Linked DNA regions of Styela clava. Each later gene encodes a partner of the first gene's protein in a complex. Links are inferred from orthologs where the notes say so. Each region holds a gene or a part of one and is shown in the gene's direction. Other genes may lie near its edges.

Region 1 (11,604 bases):
ACCAGTACAAACTGAAACTGCTCAAGGCCAGGGAGATGATTCAAAGCTTCAAAAAAGGGTCAAAACCTTAGAAGAACAACTCAAATTTGCTAAAGATACTTGTGAAGGTCTAAGAAGCCAAGGTGATGCTTTACAAGAACAACTTAGTGAGCGATTAGAAGAATTAGAAAACCTGAAAGATTCGAACGTTGCGGAAAAGTCGAAACTTATCAAACAATTGCGTGAAGCAAAAAACGTTATTGAGAAAATTGAAGAGGACAAAGTCACTGCTGTTGCAGAGGCCAAACGACAAATGCATGAGATTCTTGAAGGTAAAGATATCGAAGTAGAATCCTTACATCAACAAGTCAAGAAACTGCAAATTGATCTTGATGAATTTAAAATGAAGAAAGAGCAACGGGAAAATTCTTTGTTGGAGGAACTTCAAAAGGCAGTTACTATTGGTAGAACAGCAGAAGCTCAAAGAGCTGATGCTTTATTGAAAACTGAAACTATACAGAAAGAAATGGAAGGCAGAATTACAAAGATTGAAGAAGAATTTGATGCGGAAAGAAAAACTTATGTTTCTGAGGTTTCACATGCAAAAGCTGATAATCTTGATATTAATGAGAAACTTGAAAATGTAATGAAAAAACACAAAAGTGATTTAGAGGCTCATACAAAAATGCATGAAGTTGCATTGCAAGAACAAGCAAAGAAATATAAACTGGAATTGGATGAAAAAGAGAATCAAATGAGATTAGCAATTGAGGAGAGAGAGCTGAATAAAATGGCTGCAGTCTCACAACAAGACACTGAAGCTCAGAATTTGTTGAAACAACTAGATACAGAGTTGGAGAATGTTCGTCAAAAAGTGGAAGAGCTTGAAAAGGCAAGAGTGGATGAGGCCAACAAACATGAAGAGGAAATTACCATTCTAAAAGACAATTTTCAAAAGGCGAGTGAAGAACATAAATTCGAACTTGACAGCCTTAAAAAATATCATGATGATCATATGACTTCGAAGGCTCAAGAGTTTTTAGAAAAATTCACAAATCAAAAGAAAAAGTTTGAAAACAAACTTCAAACAAAAGAATTGACATGGACTGAAAAGTTAGCAGAAGCTGAGAAATCATACTTACAAGAAGTTGACGATTTGAAAACACAAGTAAATGAACAAGGTAAAGAGAGGAACGAACTTTTTCAGCAACAAGCAGAGAAGGTTTCCCAACTCGAAAAAGAAGTCACTCTGTTGAATTGTGATAGGGAAGCCTTAAGTATCAAATTTTCGCAAATAGAATCTAAACTTTTTGAAAGAGATACACAATTGAAGGATTCTTTAAACGAATTAGAAGAAATCAAAAACAGTGCAACTAAAGAAAAAGAAGATTTGAATTCGAATATTGAAGCAAAAGATAACATAATTAAAGAACTAAACAGTAAAATGGAAAACTTGCAGCAGGACTTTTCACAGAAAGAACAAGAAAGCTTACAGCAGAATGAAGTTTCTCATGGAGAACTTGAAACGTTGCAGGAAAATCTGAAAAATTTACAATCTCAGAAACAGGAACTTGAACAAGCTTGCAATGCTGCTGAAGAGAAATTGAAACAAAGAGAACAGACAATGAAAAAACATGTCTTGGATATGGAGGAAAGCCATAAATCTGCAATCGGTGATTTATCATCACAGTTAGATAAAGAAAAACAGGAATCTGTGGTGAAAATTGCTACTTTAGAAAAAGAGAAATTGGATCTTCAGAAATTACAAGAAGAAACAAATAAGAAATTTCTTGAAGCTGGTGGAAGATTAAAAGCACTTGCCCAAAAATTTAAAGCCACTGTTAAAGAAAACCAGACGACTGTGACAGAGAAAGAATCTATGATTGAGAAGTCTAAAACGGAATTAAATGAAATCAAAATAAAATTAGAACAACTGGAAGGACAAAATAGAAAAATGGTTGAAAATCATGAAATGCGATTGAAAACAATGGAGTCTGAATGGGAAAACAAACTGAAAAATGAATTAGAAGGCTTGAAGGAGAAATCTGAAAAAGAATATGATGCGTTAAAAGAATCAATGATAAACACTCACAATCAAGATTTAGAATCATTGAGGAATAGTTTGAACAATGCTTTTGATGAGAACAAAAGTCATTTAGTGGAAGAATTAACGAACAAATTCAATACTGAAAAGCAAGAATTATTAACTGAACAGAGGAAGAAACTTGACACTGAAATGAGGAATTTAGAGATGAGGCTGCAAAGCGAAACATCTGATGCCACTGACAAAGAAAAATCTCTTCTACAGTCCCTTCAAGAATGCCATGAAAAAATTACTGATCTCGAAAACGAGCAATCACAAAAATGTAAAGAACTTTCTGAAGCCCATGAGAATTTGGCATGTCTCCAAGCAGATTATAAAACAAGTACTGAAAAGTTTCAGAGTAATGAGATTGAAGTAACGAATCTAAAACAGAAAGTAGATGCTGCTGAAGCTGAGCTTTCCCAATTTAGAAAGTTAAACTCTGATAAAGAATCTCAAGTTGAACAATTGATGAAGGATCTTGATATATCTAATGATAACTTAACTCAGTTACAAAGTGAAATAAAAAATCTTCAACAGCAATTAGAAGACAAATCTAATGAAGAAAAGAAAGTTGCTACTGAATTGGATGCCAAGATTTCAGAATTTAATAAACTGACGGAAAATTTCAGTGCTCAGTCTATTCAGTTAAAAGAAGTTCATGCCAAAATTTCAGAAAATGACAAGTTTTTAGAAAGCTTAAAATCAGAAAATAAAGTACATTCAGGTAAATTTGAAGCTCTGACGAAAGAGCATGCTGCTGCTTTGGAAAAGCAGAATAGTGATTGGCAAACAAAATATACTGAATTGAAATCTAAAGCCGAACAAAAAATAGCACAACAACACTCTCATCTCAAAAATGCCAAAGCTGAATTAACATCACAGCTAGAAACAATCCACAAACTTGGTGAGGAAAAGGCCTCTGCTGAAAAAAATATTCAACACCTTACTGACAGTGCAAAGCTTGTACAAGAAAATTTAACCCTTTTGGAACAAAAGCTTCAAGAGACTGAAAGTAAACTTATTGAACAGCAAAAATTTTCTGAGAAAGTTAAAAAGGATGCAGAAATTGCAGAACATTCGAAAAAAGACATTGTGGATGATTTGCAACTACAAATAAAAAACATTATGGAATCTTCTAAAAAACAAAGTCGAAATTATGATGAAATGATCAAGAAATTGGAAGAGGATGTAAATGAAAAGAATGAAAAAATTATGGAATTTGAAAAAGAAATTGAAAGTTTGAATTTGAAGCTTTCGGATGTCAATTCTTCATTTGATGGTTCACAAGTTCAGTTGAAGGAGAGAGATTCAACAATTTCTGATTTAAATGAAAAGCTGGAAAACATGAAATTAGAAATTGAAACTAAAACTGAAGACCTTGAAAACTGGAAAAAAGAAAAATTGGAAAACGATTCTTCAATGAAACTAACGCAAGCGGAAAACAACGAAATGGCAAAATCTTTAGAAAAAGTCAAAAAAGAACTTGCAGAAAAGGATGCCATTGTTGTTGAGAAAACAATACACTTGGAAAAAGAATCTAAAGAACAACTAGAAGCTCAAACTACGAAATTAAACCAAGAACATCAAAAGAAAATGGCAGATTTGAAAAAGAAAGCTGAAGTTAGACTCGCTCAAATTAAAAATACTTTTACTTCCCAATTAGAAGAAAAACTGAAATTAATTTCTCAGTTAGAAGATGACAAGAGTTCTTTGGAAGAGCAAATGGTGCAAGCCTTAGAAGAAGCTAATAAAACCAAAGAAACTGCTATTACTGAGAACAAAACATTGTTGACTGAATTTGAAAGCTTGAAAAACCAATTTGAACAATTACAAAGTGAAAAACAAGAAATGCTTTCGGCATGGGAAAAAGAAAAATTGGAAATTGAAGCTAGAATCAAAGAGGAATCTGATAAAAATATTGTCAATATGATGGAGGAAGAAAAATTAAAGTACGAGGATGAACAAGCTCAACTTGCCGAAGTGAAAGATCGACTTGAACAAGTACTTCAAGAGGCAAAGCTAAAATTGCAAGAAACAGAAAAGAAAATGGATGAAGAAAAAGATCGATCGGAAATGGCACTACAGGAAGAAAAAGAAAGGAGATTGCAGAGTGAAACACAATTGTTGGTAGCAAAAGAAGATTTTGCAAACGAAATAGAGAATTTGAAAAATAAACAAAACTTATCAGATGCTAAAATTCTTTCCCTTGAAGAAAGTTTAAAGAATATGCAAGAGACTATTGACAGCACGGAAAGAGAAAATTTGAATATGATATCAGCTCTTGAAGCCCAATTAGATGCTGCTAGAAAAAGAAGTGAAAAGTTGGAGAATGATAGAGAAACTGTAAAGCAAAATTTAAATGATACAATTGAAGATTATGAGAGGAAAATGCAGTCATTACGAGATGAAATCAGTTCATCGCAAAAACAAATGGAGGTTTTGTCTAAAACTTCAGTTGAAGATAAAGATGTGGAAGTTGAAAGAAAATTAGGAAACTTAAAAGAGGATTTTGAAAGAAGGTTGCGAGAGAAAGATGAAGAAACAACAAAGAAGATCAAGAAAATGATGACTGAATATGAAACGCAAATTCAGAAAAATAACGAGAGTTTCGACTCAAAACTTGAAAAAATGAAGAAAAAAAATTTATCATTTGAAGATTCAGTGCGATCTGATCATCACAAGGAACTAGTTTTTCTGCAAAGAGAAATTCAAGGAAAAGAAGAGAAAATGGAAGAAGTTGTCGAAAAGTACGAGTCAGAAATGCATGAAATGGAAAAAAATATGTCCGAACAAGTTGATAAAGCCATGTATCGTGCTATGACTGCTGAAAAAAAATTACAAAGTGCAGACATGGAGCAAGAAAATGAAAATTTGAAAAAACAACTAGCGGAAGTGAATAAAATTCTTGCTGATACGCAACAGAGGGAACGCGAAAATGAAATGATGCTTCAGTCGTTCCAAGCGAGAGTGTCACTTGCCACACCTCTCGCCGATCCAGATAAACTTGAATATCTAAGGAGGATTTTGTATGAATATATTATGGGAAATGAATGTGGGACTATGGCAAAAGTTTTAATACTTCTACTGCAATTTAATGAACTTGAATCACAACAAATTCTCGAAAAACATGGCTTAGCACAGAAATAACGCTATAGATTGGGGTACAAGACTTTAAGAATTTTCGTGAATGTGTCTCACTGTTTTTATCATATAATATATATACCGTACATCATATATGTTTTTTTTTTTGATACATTCAGGTATGGACCACCAACTATTTTATCACAAAATTTATTTACTTTGTGAAATAAATCGCATTCATTGAACAAAATTGTCTTTGCTAAAATATGTGTTTATAAATTGAAAGCAAGTCTATAATATTATTCGAAAATTCTAAAACTGATTATATCTCTCATTAGTTTTATAGTTTAATGAAACATGTTTCAATTCTATTCTGCGATATACCTATACGGTGCTATTTAGGTTGCTTGGTAGAAAGTATTGTTTTGGTACATCTACCATATTGTTTGGTATATTGCATTTTCACACTTGTGCTCATGTTATTCTTTTCATACCTGAATTTGGATTTCTTGTTATATTGATTTGTTATTCCATAAGCATTATTAATATGTGTGATGTTCATGTCCCATGATATTTCATTTGCTAAGTGCAATATTCGGAAATTATAAGCACAGTTGGTTGCTTTTATTTTAGATTTAAAGCAATTTTCAATGATTCATTCTTGTAGCAAGTTACGGTAGCTTTGGAGATGCTAGCCTAATTTATTATTCTTATTTTGAGTCTTTATAACAGGGGTCATTCATTTTGATGTTTCAAACAAAGACGCTTTGGGAATATATTTATATGCCAGCTGGGGTTTCGATTTTCTTGTATTTCTAAAGATGCATAAATTGGAATTGTTTTACTGTGTGAAAATTATGAATATGTTTGAGTACTATTCAAATATTGCTCCTAATTTCTGTTTAGTTAAGAATTTCTCATGAATTTGAGAACCGGTTTTTTTCTATATAAAAAAAAATTAATCATATTTTAAAAGATACTGTTTCCACATGCCTTAACTTAAACCTATTTTTAAGTGGCTTTGTAACTCGTCTATAGATGCTATATAAAGGGTGCTTTAAAAAACAGAACCCAGATCGTTTGCAACTTGCTCTAGAGCAGTGGTTTTCAAACTCTTTGAGGCCGCGCCCCCTTTTCAGAATTTGTCAAGTCTCGTGCCCCATCTCAAAAATATAACTAGCTAAGAAGGCTACAAATAACAAATAGTAAGGCAAAATTTTATTCGAAAAACATGTTGAAAATACATAGATGGAACGTAAATAGTTGAATAAATGGAAAGTTTTAAAAAACAAATAAGGCGCGCAAGATCAAATCTATCAATTATTTTTAATTAGCTTCACGCCCCCTCGAAAAATTGTTTACCTCCCCCTTGTGGGGCGCGCCTCACCACTTGAGAACCACTGTTCTACAGAGAACATAACTTTGTGCAAAGCATCTTAGAGTGTTCAAGAAATTTATGAGTTGTTTTGTACTCATTGTATTTTCGTCAAAAATGCAGTATTGCCCAATCCCTTGGCATAGTCTTCATTACTGAGAAAATGTGCAAATTTAGTTGAAAATTTCACTGGAAATTCCCTAATTTGACATATTGTTGGATTTTATCTTTGGTATTGTAAAATATTTATAACATAGCATTGATCAATAGAAATACACAAGATTATACTCTTGTGTTTTATTCAAGTGGGATTAAAACAGATAATGTTTCAATACGTTTTGAAGCCACTTCACAGGTTTTTACAACCACACGCTTGTTTTGTTATTATCTGAGTATTTAAACAAATGCTTCATGTTATATTATATACCGTATCTAATATACAGGGTTTTCATAAAGTCTGAAAAATTTTGAAATTTAATAGGGAATTCATCAATACCATATATAGTTTGTATTGGTAAAAAACTCAAACCCTGATTAAAATCAAACAAACCTTGTTAAGATATATTCCATAACAAAATTGTAATTGGACTTTATGAACACCCTATATATTCAAACAAGATTTCCAATTGCCAGTAAAACGGAAAACTTATCCTTGTCCTACTTCTATTCCCATGCACAGCCAGAACTGGTAAACTGACGAGAAGGACATGAATTCAACCGTACTTTTGTGCCAATCCGTCCATTAAATTTTATAAATTTACCATTGCCTTTTTTAGTAATAGTGCTTTAGTGTATTCGCGTTTCGTTAATATATCAGTTTTTGTTGGTCTGCTCATTATAGATCGTGAATTCAGAAAAAATTTTAATCAATTGTAATTAAAACCTTATTCAATACTGCATTGCTGAAAGTGTGATTTTTCATGAAATTTATTTTTCATATCTTTAAAAAAGTTGTGTTGTATAGTTTTTTCATGCACAGCTTACTGAATTTATTGCACGTTTGAGGAAAGTGTTGGAAGTGAGACTTGAACCTGGTATCTCTAACCTGTATCGCCAACTTGGTTATGTCTGTAATTCCAATATAGTAGGCCATCAGTGTTTGTGCAATTTCACGCTATATATTTGTTTTATCATTTTATCAACATACATATTGTATAAATTGTACATAAATAATTTTTCCATATATGTTATGTTGTAGTACCATCCGTACTACTAACATCTGGAAATATAGTTTATATTCAAGACTTCTGCTTTATAATTTGAATTTTTTTTAAACCTTGAATGTCACGTTAGATCATGTTACTATTTTTCGTACTGTCTGTTGAATATATTTAGTAGCTAGAGATTTCAAATTTTTTCTAGTATATACCCAATAGTTTGAATGTTAGCTATTCTAAATGCAAGTTTTATAGATTGGTCCAGAGATTCCCAAACTTTTCAAACTTCATACATTTACTTTCTATATTACATGTTTTTCTATATGACATGTTGGAAGTAATATTTGACATTTCAATTTTGACGAGGAGGATTTTCATAATATATGCACATTGAATCAATGCGATATATGGGGTTGTTTTTGTACATATAAACAATCGCAAGTTTAGGAAATTTTTTAGAAAATGATTTTATATTTCGACTCACACTCAAAATTATGTCACACTACTGTGTGACACACAGTTTGGGAACCACTGGCATAATCCAAGCAGTTGGTTATGTATTTAGTAAACACATTCATTTTCTGTTTTCATTTTCTGTCTATATTCTTTGCATATATTTGAGATTTGCATTGTTTGGAATTTTCAATCTAAATTTTGAATTTAGCATTTGTCCTCTAGTATAATATCTGTCATCTCTATCTTTTGCTGTACTGAAATTTCATTTCAAATCATGATCTAACGATTATGTGCTGGTGTTGCTAATTCATGCAAATGATATATGGTTTATCATTGGCTTTTCTTTGATTGGATATTGTTTCATAGATGTTATATATTCAATTTATTTTAAATCATACATCCTTATGTGCCTTGTTATTATATTTACAGCCTTACATTTGCAAGATGTTATATAATTTCATAAATATTAACTAGATATGGCTTGCAGTTTAAAACAAACTTGTGTTATTGAGGATGTTACATCTGTCAGAAAATATTTATTTCCGGTCAGAGATGCAGGAAATGAACAGCAAATGAAAGGTTTGCTATATTTTATCATCTAAATACTAATAGTTGGGAATTGTAGGCTTGGATGTTGAAACAGTAGAATACTTGGATACATTCAACATCATCACTAGCTGTTCATGCCACTGCAAGCAGATAGCCTCCACATTTGACGCCAGGTACTCCTCTTTCGAGCAAGTTGCATCCAGGTTTGTGCTGGTGGATTCATGTGTGAATAATGCATACTCTTCTGTGTATGACCATTCTATTCAATTCAATAGTCTTGTTCCATATTAAAACAAATTCATCAATTACGGTAATACTATTCAAATTTTTATATTGGCTTCAAGCTCAAATTTACAAATTGTGCTAAAATTGCTACCATTTTACTTTTTTTTAACATGGCTTATTTGTACGTCTTTCACTCTAAACAAAGCTCTGCACAAGTAGCAATTGTTAAGGGTTAGTAGCTAACTACTATATGGAAGTACTCGACATGGCTGGTATTCGAAAATAACATCTAGCCTATATTATATATAGATAATGATGCTGATGGATGGAATGAAGATGATTGGGCGAATAATTGGGAAAATGACAATGAAGACAATAGCAAGCAAAAGGTTGCTTAAAAATTATTTAATAATTGATAATTTAGTAGTGGACAATTATTTCAGGGAGAACATTTCACTTTTCATTCTTTTTAATCGAAAAAAAGATATCACTTTTAGAAGTCTGAATAATATAAATCATCAGAAATTGAGACAATTTTGCTTTTAGTGGAATTTTAATCACAGATGGCCAAAGTCTAATAACTTTCTATTCTGAACACATTCTAAAATAATGTTCGTGATTATCGAATATATTTCCATGTTCAGCGAATAACATGTTTTTGATAAATTTTGGAAAGTAAAGTTATACAGTTATTGGATTGGATTTATATTTTTTGAAGTTTTCATAAATAGGATATTTAAATTACTGTAAGGCATTTTTGGTCATTCTGTGACATTTAAAATTATAATTTCAAATGAAACTTTCAGTTCATTTTTAGAATCAGGATTTTAAAATATTGAATATAATAAATAAATTGATTCGAATATTTCACTTGCTTGAGCAACAATGGGTTGAAACACACATTTTCATATGATCTTATTTCACAGCTTTTGCTCTGAATAAGGGTCTGTATAAGCAGCCACTAATGATGTAAGAAGCTAATAATCTTTTCAGTTCAGCATTGACTGCCCAATTTAATATGAGTGTATTGTTTTACCTGCTAGGCCTTCGCACCAACAAATATTAATATTTTAAATATTATTTCTTCTGGTATCAGGATGAGAATGATTCTTCAGATGATCAAGAAAATAACTGGTTCCATAAATGCCAGATAGCATTCTCACCTACCTATGATTTGTTGGTAATAGGTTATGCTGGAAAGATCATTCTACTTGCAGGTTGGTTGTGACAGAAGTTGAATTTTTTAAAAAAAAACTCTTTTTATTTTGAGAATTGTCAAAGAATATTTGATAATAATATTATGTTTGAAAGAATAGCAACTCGATCAATATAGACTATGTTTCTGAATCCTAATCATGAATCTGATTATTTAACCATAAACACAGGTGCTATGAATAGAAATGTCCTTGATTTAAGTTTCGAAATTTTTTTAATACCAATATACATATCAAATTAAATTTTGCAAATGCGATTGATAAGAACACTGCTTTTTTATGAAATGGCTTTTGCTCAGAACAACCTACATTACAATGATTAATATTTAGCGATATTTATTAAGGGACTCTTATTTTTTGAAACACCAGAATCTTCCCTGGTTCTGGTATTATACCGTGGTTGACGGGATGGTCATGATATTTGAACCATAGGTGTGTTACCTGCGATGTGAACTCAGTTAATAAGCCTAACCCTTTAACCGCAAAATTAGTATAGGCTATTATTTATAGATTGTGATTGTATCAGAAGTAACGCGCATTTTGATTTGAGAACACCAAATTATTCAAACATCGATAGTTGAAAATAGTTCGTATTAATTTATATTAAATATATTTCTTACTTTCCAAATGATTTTTTGAATTTAGAATTCAAATTTAGGTTCAATTTGTTTCAATTAGATTCCCGAGATTTATACCATAACAAATATCTTTTTAATGTCTGTTATTGTTGCTTTACAGCCAAATCTGAGGGTCATAGTGCAAGAAGCCATGGGACTAGAAAATACAAAATTGCAACACAAATGGAAATATCAGAAGAATCGGGGTATATTATTTTTTACTCTCAGTTAATGCAGAAGCTAATCGTTAGTAATTGTATAACAGTTTTTATACAATATTATACTCTTTTCTCTTGGAGCAAGGTCCTATGTTAACGGCCACTCATATCTAAGGATCACAATGAGCTACTATTTTTGAGAAGGACCGGAATTTGTCCCTTTAGTACACCCTGGTAACGTTGTGGCCATGAAATTTGAAGTCTAGATGTGTATACTGGAATGCCAATACGGCCAAGTCTAACGCTTCACCCACTGGCCAATGCGCCCACGGTATAGACAGAATAGGCTTAGTTTCTCACCCTTAAGTGAAAAATACAGCTATTTTTCATGTTTATTCTTTTTGGGAGATATCTTGGATTGTCACATGGGCCTATTTAATATATTCAGGTTTTATGCAAACATCACTTTTGCTATCTGATAACAGGCTGTAAATTGTTACCCTATATTTAACATGACAATTTTTGAACATCCATGTTATCAAATGCTTACCGGTATGTCTTTTTCCCCAATTTCCTATTCAAGATGGGGAAAATGGAAATTACTCTATTTGAAGAAATGAAAAAATTCTCAAATTTGGTAAATGCTTCTATTTTATGGGCTTGAAATAAAACCTTTTATCCAGGGAACACATCACAAGTATCCTTTG
Region 2 (10,930 bases), on another chromosome or scaffold:
GTCAGCATCATAAACCCGCTTGTTGGCTGAGATAGAATTAAAAAAATCCGCGAGATGGTACAACTGCGCACTCCTGATATTTCAGTATTTTTCAATTCTTCAGATTGCTTGTGATTTGCTTTGTCTTCGTTTGTATTTGGAAAAAAAAAGAATTTTCACGGAGTGGGAGTGGGCTAAACTGTTTTACAACTGGTAAAACGTTCAGGGAATCAAAAATACTGAAATCAAAATTAGCGCGTCATTGACCGCGACGTCACTCAAAACACTTCGCTTTGGTTTTCCGTTTGTCTTGTTGTTAAGCTTTTTACTAAATGGTAATTATGACGGATTATCATATTTTGTAGTGGACCAAATTTTCAATTTGGGCTCAATCAAGTTAACGATAATTTTTAGTTACCTTGTTAGTCATTAATTGAAGAATTAGGCATTACGTCTAAGAATTTAAGCTCGTTATACTTATAGCCTACAATCCAAGTGCTGTGCATTTTGACATGTTCAATTAAGTGGAATTCTCCGTTTAATACTGAATTTTAATGTGATCAATAGATTAAATGTATGGTTCCATTAATATTCATCAGATAATTAGCGGTATTATCCATTTAAATGCCTGACTAGGATACTGAAATGCATTTTGTGAACCTCGATCGGATTTTATCTTCGATAATGAATGAGATGATTCATTACGGTACCGGTACTGGTGCGCAATAGAAGATATAATGGTGATGCAGTATATTATATAAGTGTATCGCAACTTTCAGACCAGACAATTTGCTAGTTTCTACATCTGTAAATGGTAGACCTGGTACCACTTTCCTTTTAAATGCTGTAGATATGAGAGAAAATATAGCTATATAGTAAAAATAGTCAGATAGTAAGTTTATCAACTGTCATGTACAGTTTATCAACTGTATTAGCATGATAAAAGGGTATTAAGAAATTTCAGACCAGGGAATTCCAGAATAATTTAAATTGGATATATTTGATGATATTGTAAATCATTACAGTGTTAACCTTCCAAAGTGAATATTTTTGAACATAAATTGGCTTGTGCCGAGTTCCTTGTTTATCTTTACCAAAATTAGAACATACGGTATTTCATTGTCCGTTGTTCAGTAATTGAAAATATTGTTCAAAATACAAGATCACTTAATTCTGGCCATCCATAGTTTCGAATTTTCTATTTTTTTATCATAAAACCTAATAATTTTGTTTCAAACTAATCATTCTCGCATAAATCAATAGGGCCCAGTTCTCTCATTCCAAGATGTCTCGACTCCAATAAAACAAACACTTCAAAAGAGGCATCTGGCATGTTGGCAGATGCGCCATGCTTGCTAATCTGCAAAAACTCTTGAAAGCTTCGCTAAATTTTTTTTCTTAGGTAAATCAAATTATTTTTCCCCCAAGAAATCCAATTGACGTTTTTAGATTGTGCTTTCGTTTAGTTCATTGCGTAGTGCCAGTTTGTCGATATGGAGGTATAGATTGTCTCGTAAAGGAGTGGTTGGCACTCATTGCTATAATTGATGTCTTTCAATGTGGGTCTATCCCAGATTCGGAGAATTGTGTCATACTGTAAATCAATATCAGGGCAATTAGAGTCTGATATTAAAGGAGCCTTCTTTTGAGTGAAGGTGTGAAACATAATTAAATGGTAATAAAGCGTACAAGGTACCGAATATTTCTGCCTTGGCGATGTCTATTTCAAGGGTTGTCCAATGCTCTGAATTCATACTTGTCTTTCTGATGTTTTGATTGTATTAAATTAAAATTGATATTTTCATTTTTCTTTTTGGATATTATCGATATAGTATTTTTCTAAAAAAAAGGCAATGTCTGCCGCTACTGATGCCAATAACAGGCAGGATGCTTGGGACAATGAACAGAATGAGGAATATCAAAAACAAATTGAAACTTACATTGCTTGGGTTAACAGCCAGCTTAAAAAGAGAGCAGGGAATAAGCCTGTAACGGATTTAAAAACAGATTTCCGTGATGGAGTCGTTTTAGTTACACTAGTTGAAATTATTTCCGGAGAAAAATTGGATGGAGTTTATATTCCTGCGAAAAATCTTGAAGAAAAAAGACGAAATATTAATTCAGTATTAAAGTTTTTGACGAAGAAAAGTATCCGAATGCATCACATTACTGAGAAAGATGTAATTAATGGTAATGTCAAAAGTCTGATGAAATTAATTCTGACCTTGGCCGCACACTTTAAACCTGCTAGTGTCGGAAAAAAGAAAACGGTTAATGCAGCTGCAGCAGCAAATGCCAAAGTTGCACTGAGTGATATTCACAAAAATGTAAGCTTATCTGGAGGTTTTCGCCCTCGTTGGAAGAGCAGCACCCCTACCTCAGACTATAGAAGAAACAATAATAGCAGTTCCAGTTCATCCAGAACCACATCAAACCGGTCAGATCTGCCAAAAACTGGTTCAGACGAGACAGATTCATTTTCATTGAATAAATTATCTTCTTCTGATGACGTTTGGGCATCACCAAGTTTACCTCAGCGGTCCAGTAGAACTGGCAATGATTGCCTTGCGACAACAACGGTGCAGAATCTCTCTTCTATAAATAGTGAAGTTATACTGACATCTGGTGGAAGCAGGGATGCATCGAATGTTTCTGAGCAATTGACGGAACATTATAATGATTTAGAAAGTGATTTATCGAGCACTTGTGATTTAATATCAGTGTTACAAAATTTACTTTTAAATGGAGAGGAACCAGGCGATGGTGATAATGAGCAGAGTCTTCCTTTAGAAGCTTCTTCCCAAGACGAAGAAAACGTAATTCTAAGAAGTCGACTTGATTTGAGTCAACATGAAAATAATCGATTGAAAACCGAACTTACCGATGTACGACAAGAATGCAGGAGTACATCAGCAAACATATCAGCGCTGCGTAGTCGTACGCAACAACAAGAAAAAGAGCTCTTGTCAATGAAACAACAAATTTTGAAATTAAATTTGGCGAGTGATAATTTGAAACAAGAAAAAGATTATTTAGCAGCTCAAATAGAGGAAAATAAACGGGCAAAACAATCTCTATCAGATGAAGTGTCGGAAAAAAATATTACCATTAAGCATTTAAAAGATGAACTAACTTCAATGTCTACACAACTCAAAAAAATTGGAGACGAAAGTAAGAGTAAATTAACCTCTATGCAAAGGTTGGAATCACAAGTACAAGAGTTAAGTCAACAATTACGGGTTTTACAGCGTTATAAACAATCAAGTAAACCAGAACGAAATGGTAATGAAACGACTGTCATTTCAGAGTCTCTAAACAGCCTTCGTTCGAATTTAGCACCTCATGATTCACGACAACACATTATTGACACGCTTGAACAAGCAGTGATGTCATTAACGGAACGAGACCAGCGTAACAACAACCAGAATTATGGTCGTAAAAGTGAACTATCAGTGCCACGTTTATCTGCGAGTCATTCACCTAGAAATCGTAAAAAAGACATGGCGCAAAAAACTGCGTCAACGACGGTTATTTACTTCACAGAGAGAAACATGACGCCAGCCAGAGCTTCAATTTTTAAAAAAATTGGCGAAATAACTTTGCGAGATTTTAAAAGTGTAATTCAAGTACCTGCCGATAATTACAAATTCAATTTTAAAGCACTTGACCCAGAATTTGGGACAGTAAAAAAGGAAATTTTCAATGATAATGACATTGTCCCTGGTTGGGAGGGTAAAATTGTAGCATGGTTAGAAAGAGAATAGACGCTAGAACTCAGATTCACACAATTTTTATTCTTTCAGACCTTAGCCCACTGTCTATTCAAGTATCCCAATTCAAAAACTGTATTTTAAAGTTACATTTTTCCAAATTAAATTACTGTTGTAATACTTAGAGCCTATAATTCCGTTATTTATAGAAAAGCTATTTTCTGCAATAGCAGTCTCATTTGCTAGGTTAATGTATTAATTAGTCTTTATATAAATACCATTATACTGTAGGAGTCATTTGCTAGTCTTCATTAAACTGATCGTATATATATATGTATTCATATGATAAAACCAAAAATTGCTCAATATTGTTATGAAATAAGTACTAAATAACATATTGTTTAATCAGTGGAAGATGACAATAAATGCATTCAAATAAGATCATTTGAAAATACCATTTTGTGAAATTAACTCATCATGTAGTGGAATCTTTAATTCAATTCATATAATTTGGGTTATATCATGATATCAATGAAAAAAAGGCTTATTAGGAATAACCATTCTGTTATAGACATTCATATACTACTGCTATAACAATTTATATCATTCTTTATTGGTGCTGATGACAAAGTATTTTATTTCAAGTGTTTAAGTGTAATTTCATAGTTCCGAAGACATCGCCTACCTACAATATAATATATTTCAATGCATTGCCGCAGTATTATTGAATAAGCTTCTGTCACATTTTAAGGTTTTGCGAAAATCGCATTTTTCTAATTTCCATATCTTCATAGCAGGGGTTCTTAACTTGGGGCCGCAGAGCAGTTGGAGGGGGGGCCACAATTCTAGGGTCTTGAGGGCTAAAAGCCTCCGGGTGGGGGCCACGAGCCATAAACGGTTGGGAACCACTGCTTTATAGCAAAGTCTAAAATTGACATAAGGCACTAAGATAAATACAACTTTGAAACTTATACCGAAGGGGAGACCCTGTCCATAATAACAGAAGATTAATAAAGTCTGTTTCTGAAATGTGACATATGCTACTATAATTTTACTGTGGTTACACAATATCAATTTTGTCTACACATTTTTACTTCGAGGGTATAATTATCTGCATACCTCTTTTGTATGAGCTCCAATTTCTGTTCTTACAGCATTTCCGTATGATGTAGTAAATAAGTAAATAGTTCCATTTAGGTACTGTAGTTCGTTTATCTTAAAAAATTTCTTCAGTATTTTGAAAATTTTAGCATAGTTGCCTTTTTGTATAAACTTTTTGCGAAGGTGTTATAGTTACCTAAATAATTGGTGTTGTGTAATTAGTATTGTGTACCTAAGTTGTTAAAATGACTTCATAAACTGTTTCATTATGCTGTTTAAAATGAGTCTCAGTAAGCATTCGAAAGGACCAGAATCATCTAGTTTTTTATATAAGGGGTTGGGCTCGGGGGTTCAGGTCTTCCTACTTTTCATAGTTGCCAGTATTGCAAAATATTCTGGAATCAGAATGAAAAGTAACTTTCGTACCAAAATATTATTTTTTGTATGTACATTTGGTTTATGTAATCCATGGCATTTCATGATTACATGACATTACTGTGTTCAAAAAATGAATCTATGACAGCTAGGTTTTTTGATTAACTTTTTATAGTGTTTACAACTTCATTCATAAATAGTGGCATTCTAGTTAATAAGGTTACTAAAAATACAGGGGTTCTCATGGGTAAATTTAACTGCTTTGAGGGTTATTTACATTGAGGGTACTTACTCATCCTAATACATAGTGTTAATTTTATCCATATACTACAAGTTGTGGAAGTGCATAACACCTGAATATTTTAGAGCATAATTGACCTAATTGAAATGTATACAATATTATCAGATTTGAATTCTATTGTTATATTGTAATGGTTATTCATATAAGTTTATTTATTAAACCACGCACTGTCCGTTCTATTAAATATTTAATGCATGATTTAATATTTATTAAATCCGGTATTTAATTATCTCCTGTGTGAGATTTCAATTATGAAATCAAGAAATTGAGCTTTCCTTACTTTTCATCCAAAGAGAGAGAAAATTTGATTTTAGGAAACTTGAGCATATGGCAGGCAATATCTCTGATGTCTTTTACCAAATAGTGGATTTTATAAACCTATTTCTTAAGCTATGACTCCATTTAGAATACTAAAATTCATTCAAAATCATAATAATATACCAAACTTTTCATTTGATTGTTATGTATTAAATATGATTTATCCTCAAGAATTGGCGATTCCTAATTTTGGAATTTAAAACAAAAGTAAAGTTGAGGTATAGACATATTCCATTTTGGACAGATTATTTAAAAACTGTCATTGCATTGTGTCTGCGATACACTCTATAAATTCCTCAGAATTCCTCAAATGCCTCTGTTTAACTTGAGGATGCTGATTCCTGAATCTCTAATCTATTTTGAACTTTTCTATTATCTTGAACTGTTTATTTTCATATTATTTCTGTATTATCTATTTAAACCCTATATGTCATACTTCCACTTTTTCTCCCGAATAAATATTATCTTAAATGATACCTATTTTCGAAATGATATATCTTTATTATTTAGCTCATTGTGTTAAAAAATCCTTTAATTTTAGCAGATACATTTTACCATGTAGCAAAAACTTTGTGGAAATTGATAAAAAAATATGGCGGACAGTCCTTCGCGGAGTAATTCCATGGAAGAAGATGAGGAAGTGTTCGAGATTACGGATTTTACAAATGTCTCGGATTGGGAGAAATTTATTGCTCAGATATCTGAAGCTATTTCTGATTGGCAATTGACTTGTATTGAGCATGTCAGGCCGTTGAAGAAGAATGAATTAACTTTAGGAAGTTGGGAACAAGTTAGCAGAGAAATAAGGTAATGGGTATTGATTTTTTACACTAGATAATTGGATTATAAATCTCTCTTCGAAACGGTTTCTAATCTTAATTCAGGGAATGTATTGGCTTTCATGGACTCTAACAACCTCAACAAGAATTAGAAAAATGAACACACACTTTGCATCGAATAAATCAATGTTAACATTAATAATCCTTTGTCAGATATTCAAAACTCAACTGCTCTAGTGAAACATAATTAAATAATTCATGGTAGTAGGATTGAAATTAATATGCTGTACCCAACAATCGCACACATGTATTATGTGAATGGATACTTGAGATTCTTTGATTGACTCTCACATTACAATATAAGAAAGGTATTTTTCATTCTACTCATATAAGGGCTCTTTAGTTTACAATTTTGAATTTCTTTTGCTATTTCAGAAGCTAGAGAAATATCCTATTGAGCTTGAAGCTTTTTTAATATTGTTTGAAAGCTTATCAAAGTATTGTTTATAGTCTGTCATACTTTGGTAAATAACAAATTTTAGGCAAAAATAGGACCTGGCCTGACCCGAACCCAATTTGTTTGTAATAATAATAATCAATAAAACATAATAGAGTAGAAAATGGATCGATTAGGAATACATTCTGCGTTCCTGGTTTAAAACTATTCTAAGAGGGTATTTGAATAGTATTTCATTCGATTTTCACTGTCCTAGACTTGACAGTGATAAAATTTAATACAGTCCATAATCTGACAATACTAACATTTATTTACAGGTTTTCGAATGCTGTCTTCATGTTGACGTTATATCGACTGAAACAAACTGGTCGAAATGAAGATGAAGAAATCTACCATGAAGAATCTGAAACAACTCTAGAAGATGAGCTGTGTTTACCTGTGTATATGGACGATATGATGTCAACTAATAATGATTTTCCTCCAAGAGCTCATTGTCTTGTTCGATGGTACGTCACAATGTCTCAAACTAGATTTTTGAGCCACAGAATATTTTTTCATTATATTTTGTTTGAAATACCAAATGTTTTTCAGCTATCTGGATTTTATGTCTTGAAACCTCTAATTGGGGTCGTAAAACTTCAGAGTTTACTGTCAAGTGTTGACAGTCTCATTTTATATTCAATTATTGAAACACCGTAGCCTATTTCAAATTACATGTCCCGCTAAATTTTGTGCCCAATATTATTTTTTTGCTCCGCTCATGCCATTTAAAACTCAATATTAATCTTTCCTTGTTCTGAATTTAATGTTGTCAGGCAGCATAGCAGTAGACTAATGGGGTCGTAAAATTTCAGAGTTTACTGTTGAGTGTTGACAGTTTCATCTTAAAACCAAATTGAAATCAAATATTGCTAAATTTTATGCCCAATATTATTTATCTGCTCTGCTTGTGCCATTTAAAACTCAATATTTCCCATTTTAGGTACGGATTCCGATCTTTCCTTGTTCTCAATTTAATCTCGTCGGGCAGCAACGCAGTGGACGGTTTGACAAGCGAATCAAAATGCAACTTGCTTCTCAGCTCGGCATGTATCGTATTATCAGATTCCGGGTGTGAAGTCCCAATATTTATTCAGATTCAACAAAACTGGAGAAAAATGTTTACAGGTGAAGACAATATTTCTGGACCTATTTCTAAGTAGCTAGAAGTACTACGATTGAGGTTTTATGTGTTATCATATGCATGCACATTTAAGCATTGAAGAAAGATAAGTAGTTAGTCTCATAGAAACTCAATCATCGGCACTAGATATTAAATTAAATATAATTTTTTTTTTTCAGGAAGATGTGTTGGTACTGGAATGCAGACTGAATTTGAGATGATTCATTTGAAGAAATCCCCTCCTCAATATCAGCATTTATCCGGTTTGCTTCATATTTTCAAGTCAAAAATAGGGCGGACTTTATCACCAGTGCAAATATCAGCACGGTTCACTTACGTATTATCAAATTGGGGCGAAAAGGGGGCGTGGCCACAGGAACAAGTAGACCCAGACATTGCTGCACAAACTTTCGATAAATTCCTATTTGGATGTTTGGACGACCCAATAGGTGATCTTCAACTTTCAGCCATGTGGCCGGCGATTAACGAAGGTCTGATTGTGGAAAACGACGTGCACTCTGACTTTAAACCAATCTCGGCACCGGTGTGGACAATAAGACTCCATTACACTGATAATCCAGAATGCCTGTTAAGCGGTTACATTAAAGAAATGTTGAAACTCAGAACATGCAAAGAAAGCTTTGGTAATTTAGTCACGACAGCACCGAAGTCGCAAGATGCAGAACAAGATATAAGTCAAGCGCTAAATAAAATGACAGACCCGTCTCATAAAGTTAAACAAATGGTTCCACTGATGCCTGAATTTACATCTGGTCTTTCAAAAATTGTGACATCACAAAGATCAATGTGGTCTCGGAGAATGCAGGTTTCATCTTATGCAACTCTCGGCCCGATTTCTCAATCAATGATTGAACTTATTATGGAATATTTGTTACCTGAAGCTCCGTCAAATGAAGGTCAAGGGTCGTCCAAAGGTGTCAGTAGTGAGAATGAAAAAGGTACTTTCGTACATGAATTGGAACATCAAATTAAATCTGCTCCGAAAGATAGCTTGACGTATCGCCTGGCGCTTTGTGTTACGGTGATTAATTTTTGTCACGGGGGAGTTGCAGCTATTGCTCAAGTTTGGCATGAATTTGTGCAAGAAATGCGATATCGATTCGAGAACGGAGTTCTTTTGTCCGGAATTACTTCTGGGAATCCAGATTTACGATGTTGCCTTTTTCATCAAAAGTTGCAAATGCTTAATTGTTGCATCCAGCATAAAATCAATAGGGAGAAAAACCAGAATTCTGTGATTGACGATCTTCCACAAGAAGATGAAGATTCAGAGAATCTTGATAAAACTGAAAACAAAGATGTAGATTCTTCAAATGAAACTAATATGGAAAAGGGAGAGGATTCTAAGATTCAAGATAGTTCTCCTGAAATTTCATCTGCTCAAGATCTAATTTTATCAAATGAAGAGTCTCCTAAGCAGGAGGATGATAGTGATAAACATAAAGATCCAGGTCAACTTCCTAGAGAGGATTCTACAACCTCTATTGGTGCAGAATCTGCTCCTAGATCACCAGGATGGCAAGAGGAAGTGAGCTCTATTGATGATGATGAATTTTTTGAGTGTGATGAAGGGGGTTCGATACCAGACCCGGACGAGGTTGATAAAACTGTAGAGGAAACTACTTTGCAAGAACAAACAAACGAAGATATTGCCAGTATTGAACAAAACGTGAATGCTGATGATATAGAAATTGATGAAGTAAATTTATCTGGCGATAATTCCAGAAATAATGAATTTCCTGAAGAGAAATCAGATTTACAAGATAATATAACGGAAAAAGAAAAACCGATGGATTCTGAAAGAAATATCACTCAAATGGATACTGAAGAGCCTGAAAGTTCTAGACCTGAGAATAGCGCTGATAGTATTAAAGATTCCATTGCTAAAGAGAACACAAAGCCTATGGGAAGATCCAAGCGATTTGGTTCTGCCAGACTTTTAAATGTTGATGCATATTTGTACATTCCGGTCACACAAGAATCTGCACCTTTAACGGAAGATGCATTAGAAGAACAGACCAAGATCTTCTCCAGCTTAGGGGACTCTGCTGAAGGTGCTTTGCTTCGTAGAAAAATGCAATCGGCGTCGCTGCTTTCTGACATGGAGTCTTTCAAAGCTGCCAACCCCGGATGCGGACTTGGTGATTTTGTTAGATGGTATTCTCCGAGAGACTATGAAGAGAAGACTGATGCTAATGGCGTCACCATAGGCGCTCTTTCAGAAAGAATGCAAATCCCTGGAAATTTATGGCAAACTATGTGGAATAGCGCTAAGCCCATACCAGCACGTCGACAAAAACGTCTTTTCGATGATACAAAAGAGGGTGAAAAAGTTTTGCATTTTTTATCGTCTCTGCAACCTAAAGATTTGGCTATTTTACTTCTACCAATTTGCTACCATGAAGCAATCTGTGTTCTCCAAAGCAAGAGTGATTCTAAGGTGTCGAGCGTGCCTTCTCTCTGTAACCAAATCTTGACTCAATCGTCTAAATTATTCCAAACGCATTACAAAGATAAATGGGAGCAAATGGACGACATTTGGCAAAAAATACAGTTTTCGGAAACTCTCATTGAACGTGCGATGTCCCTAAAGCACAAATTCGCAAGTGTTAAAGACGCGGAAACATTCGTACGAAAACTGGTAGAACACCCGGAAGTATCTTTAGAAGGTGCAGCAAACGGTGACATCGGAAAACTCGTAAAGCAATATTTTCTCGACCAAAGTGC

Evidence for each region. The genes of interacting proteins can lie anywhere in the genome.
Region 2: the proteins of rab3 GTPase-activating protein non-catalytic subunit-like (region 1) and rab3 GTPase-activating protein catalytic subunit-like are in contact, whole or in part, in a cryo-EM structure (PDB 8VYB), measured with the Homo sapiens proteins. The link is inferred for Styela clava from reciprocal best matches to the Homo sapiens genes RAB3GAP2 and RAB3GAP1. Residues at the interface, in NP_036546.2 of Homo sapiens: Arg197, His198, Pro199, Gly200, Ser276, Pro277, Phe278, Asp279, Met281, Lys282, Ser285, Asn286, Ile287, Gly289, Phe290, Asn291, Ala292, Ile294, Arg377, Phe378, Gly379, Leu380, Pro381, Asp382, Arg385, Cys395, Thr397, Leu398, Arg407, Arg415; in NP_036365.1 of Homo sapiens: Thr19, Ser21, Trp23, Glu24, Glu142, Ser143, Asn146, Leu147, Leu149, Ser150, Ser153, Ile154, Ile169, His170, Trp173, Arg174, Met176, Arg187, Asp189, Glu191, Met192, Val193, His194, Leu195, Arg196, Pro199, Tyr202, Ile211, Ser214, Lys215.

Annotation. Positions count from the first base shown.
Region 1 is NC_135251.1:16,307,268-16,318,871, forward strand, and holds the start of rab3 GTPase-activating protein non-catalytic subunit-like, read left to right. Parts: upstream 1-6,243; 5' UTR 6,244-8,610; coding exon 8,611-8,713; intron 8,714-9,217; coding exon 9,218-9,297; intron 9,298-10,004; coding exon 10,005-10,125; intron 10,126-10,860; coding exon 10,861-10,945; intron 10,946-11,580; coding exon 11,581-11,604. Other genes in the region: uncharacterized protein LOC120335522, read left to right, coding at 1-5,212. UniProt on the Homo sapiens protein: Regulatory subunit of the Rab3 GTPase-activating (Rab3GAP) complex composed of RAB3GAP1 and RAB3GAP2, which has GTPase-activating protein (GAP) activity towards various Rab3 subfamily members (RAB3A, RAB3B, RAB3C and RAB3D), RAB5A and RAB43, and guanine nucleotide exchange factor (GEF) activity towards RAB18.
Region 2 is NC_135264.1:14,170,003-14,180,932, reverse strand, and holds the start of rab3 GTPase-activating protein catalytic subunit-like, read left to right. Parts: upstream 1-6,376; coding exon 6,377-6,591; intron 6,592-7,337; coding exon 7,338-7,526; intron 7,527-8,002; coding exon 8,003-8,187; intron 8,188-8,361; coding exon 8,362-10,930. Other genes in the region: thioredoxin reductase 2, mitochondrial-like, read right to left, coding at 1-11; dixin-like, read left to right, coding at 1,833-3,743. UniProt on the Homo sapiens protein: Catalytic subunit of the Rab3 GTPase-activating (Rab3GAP) complex composed of RAB3GAP1 and RAB3GAP2, which has GTPase-activating protein (GAP) activity towards various Rab3 subfamily members (RAB3A, RAB3B, RAB3C and RAB3D), RAB5A and RAB43, and guanine nucleotide exchange factor (GEF) activity towards RAB18.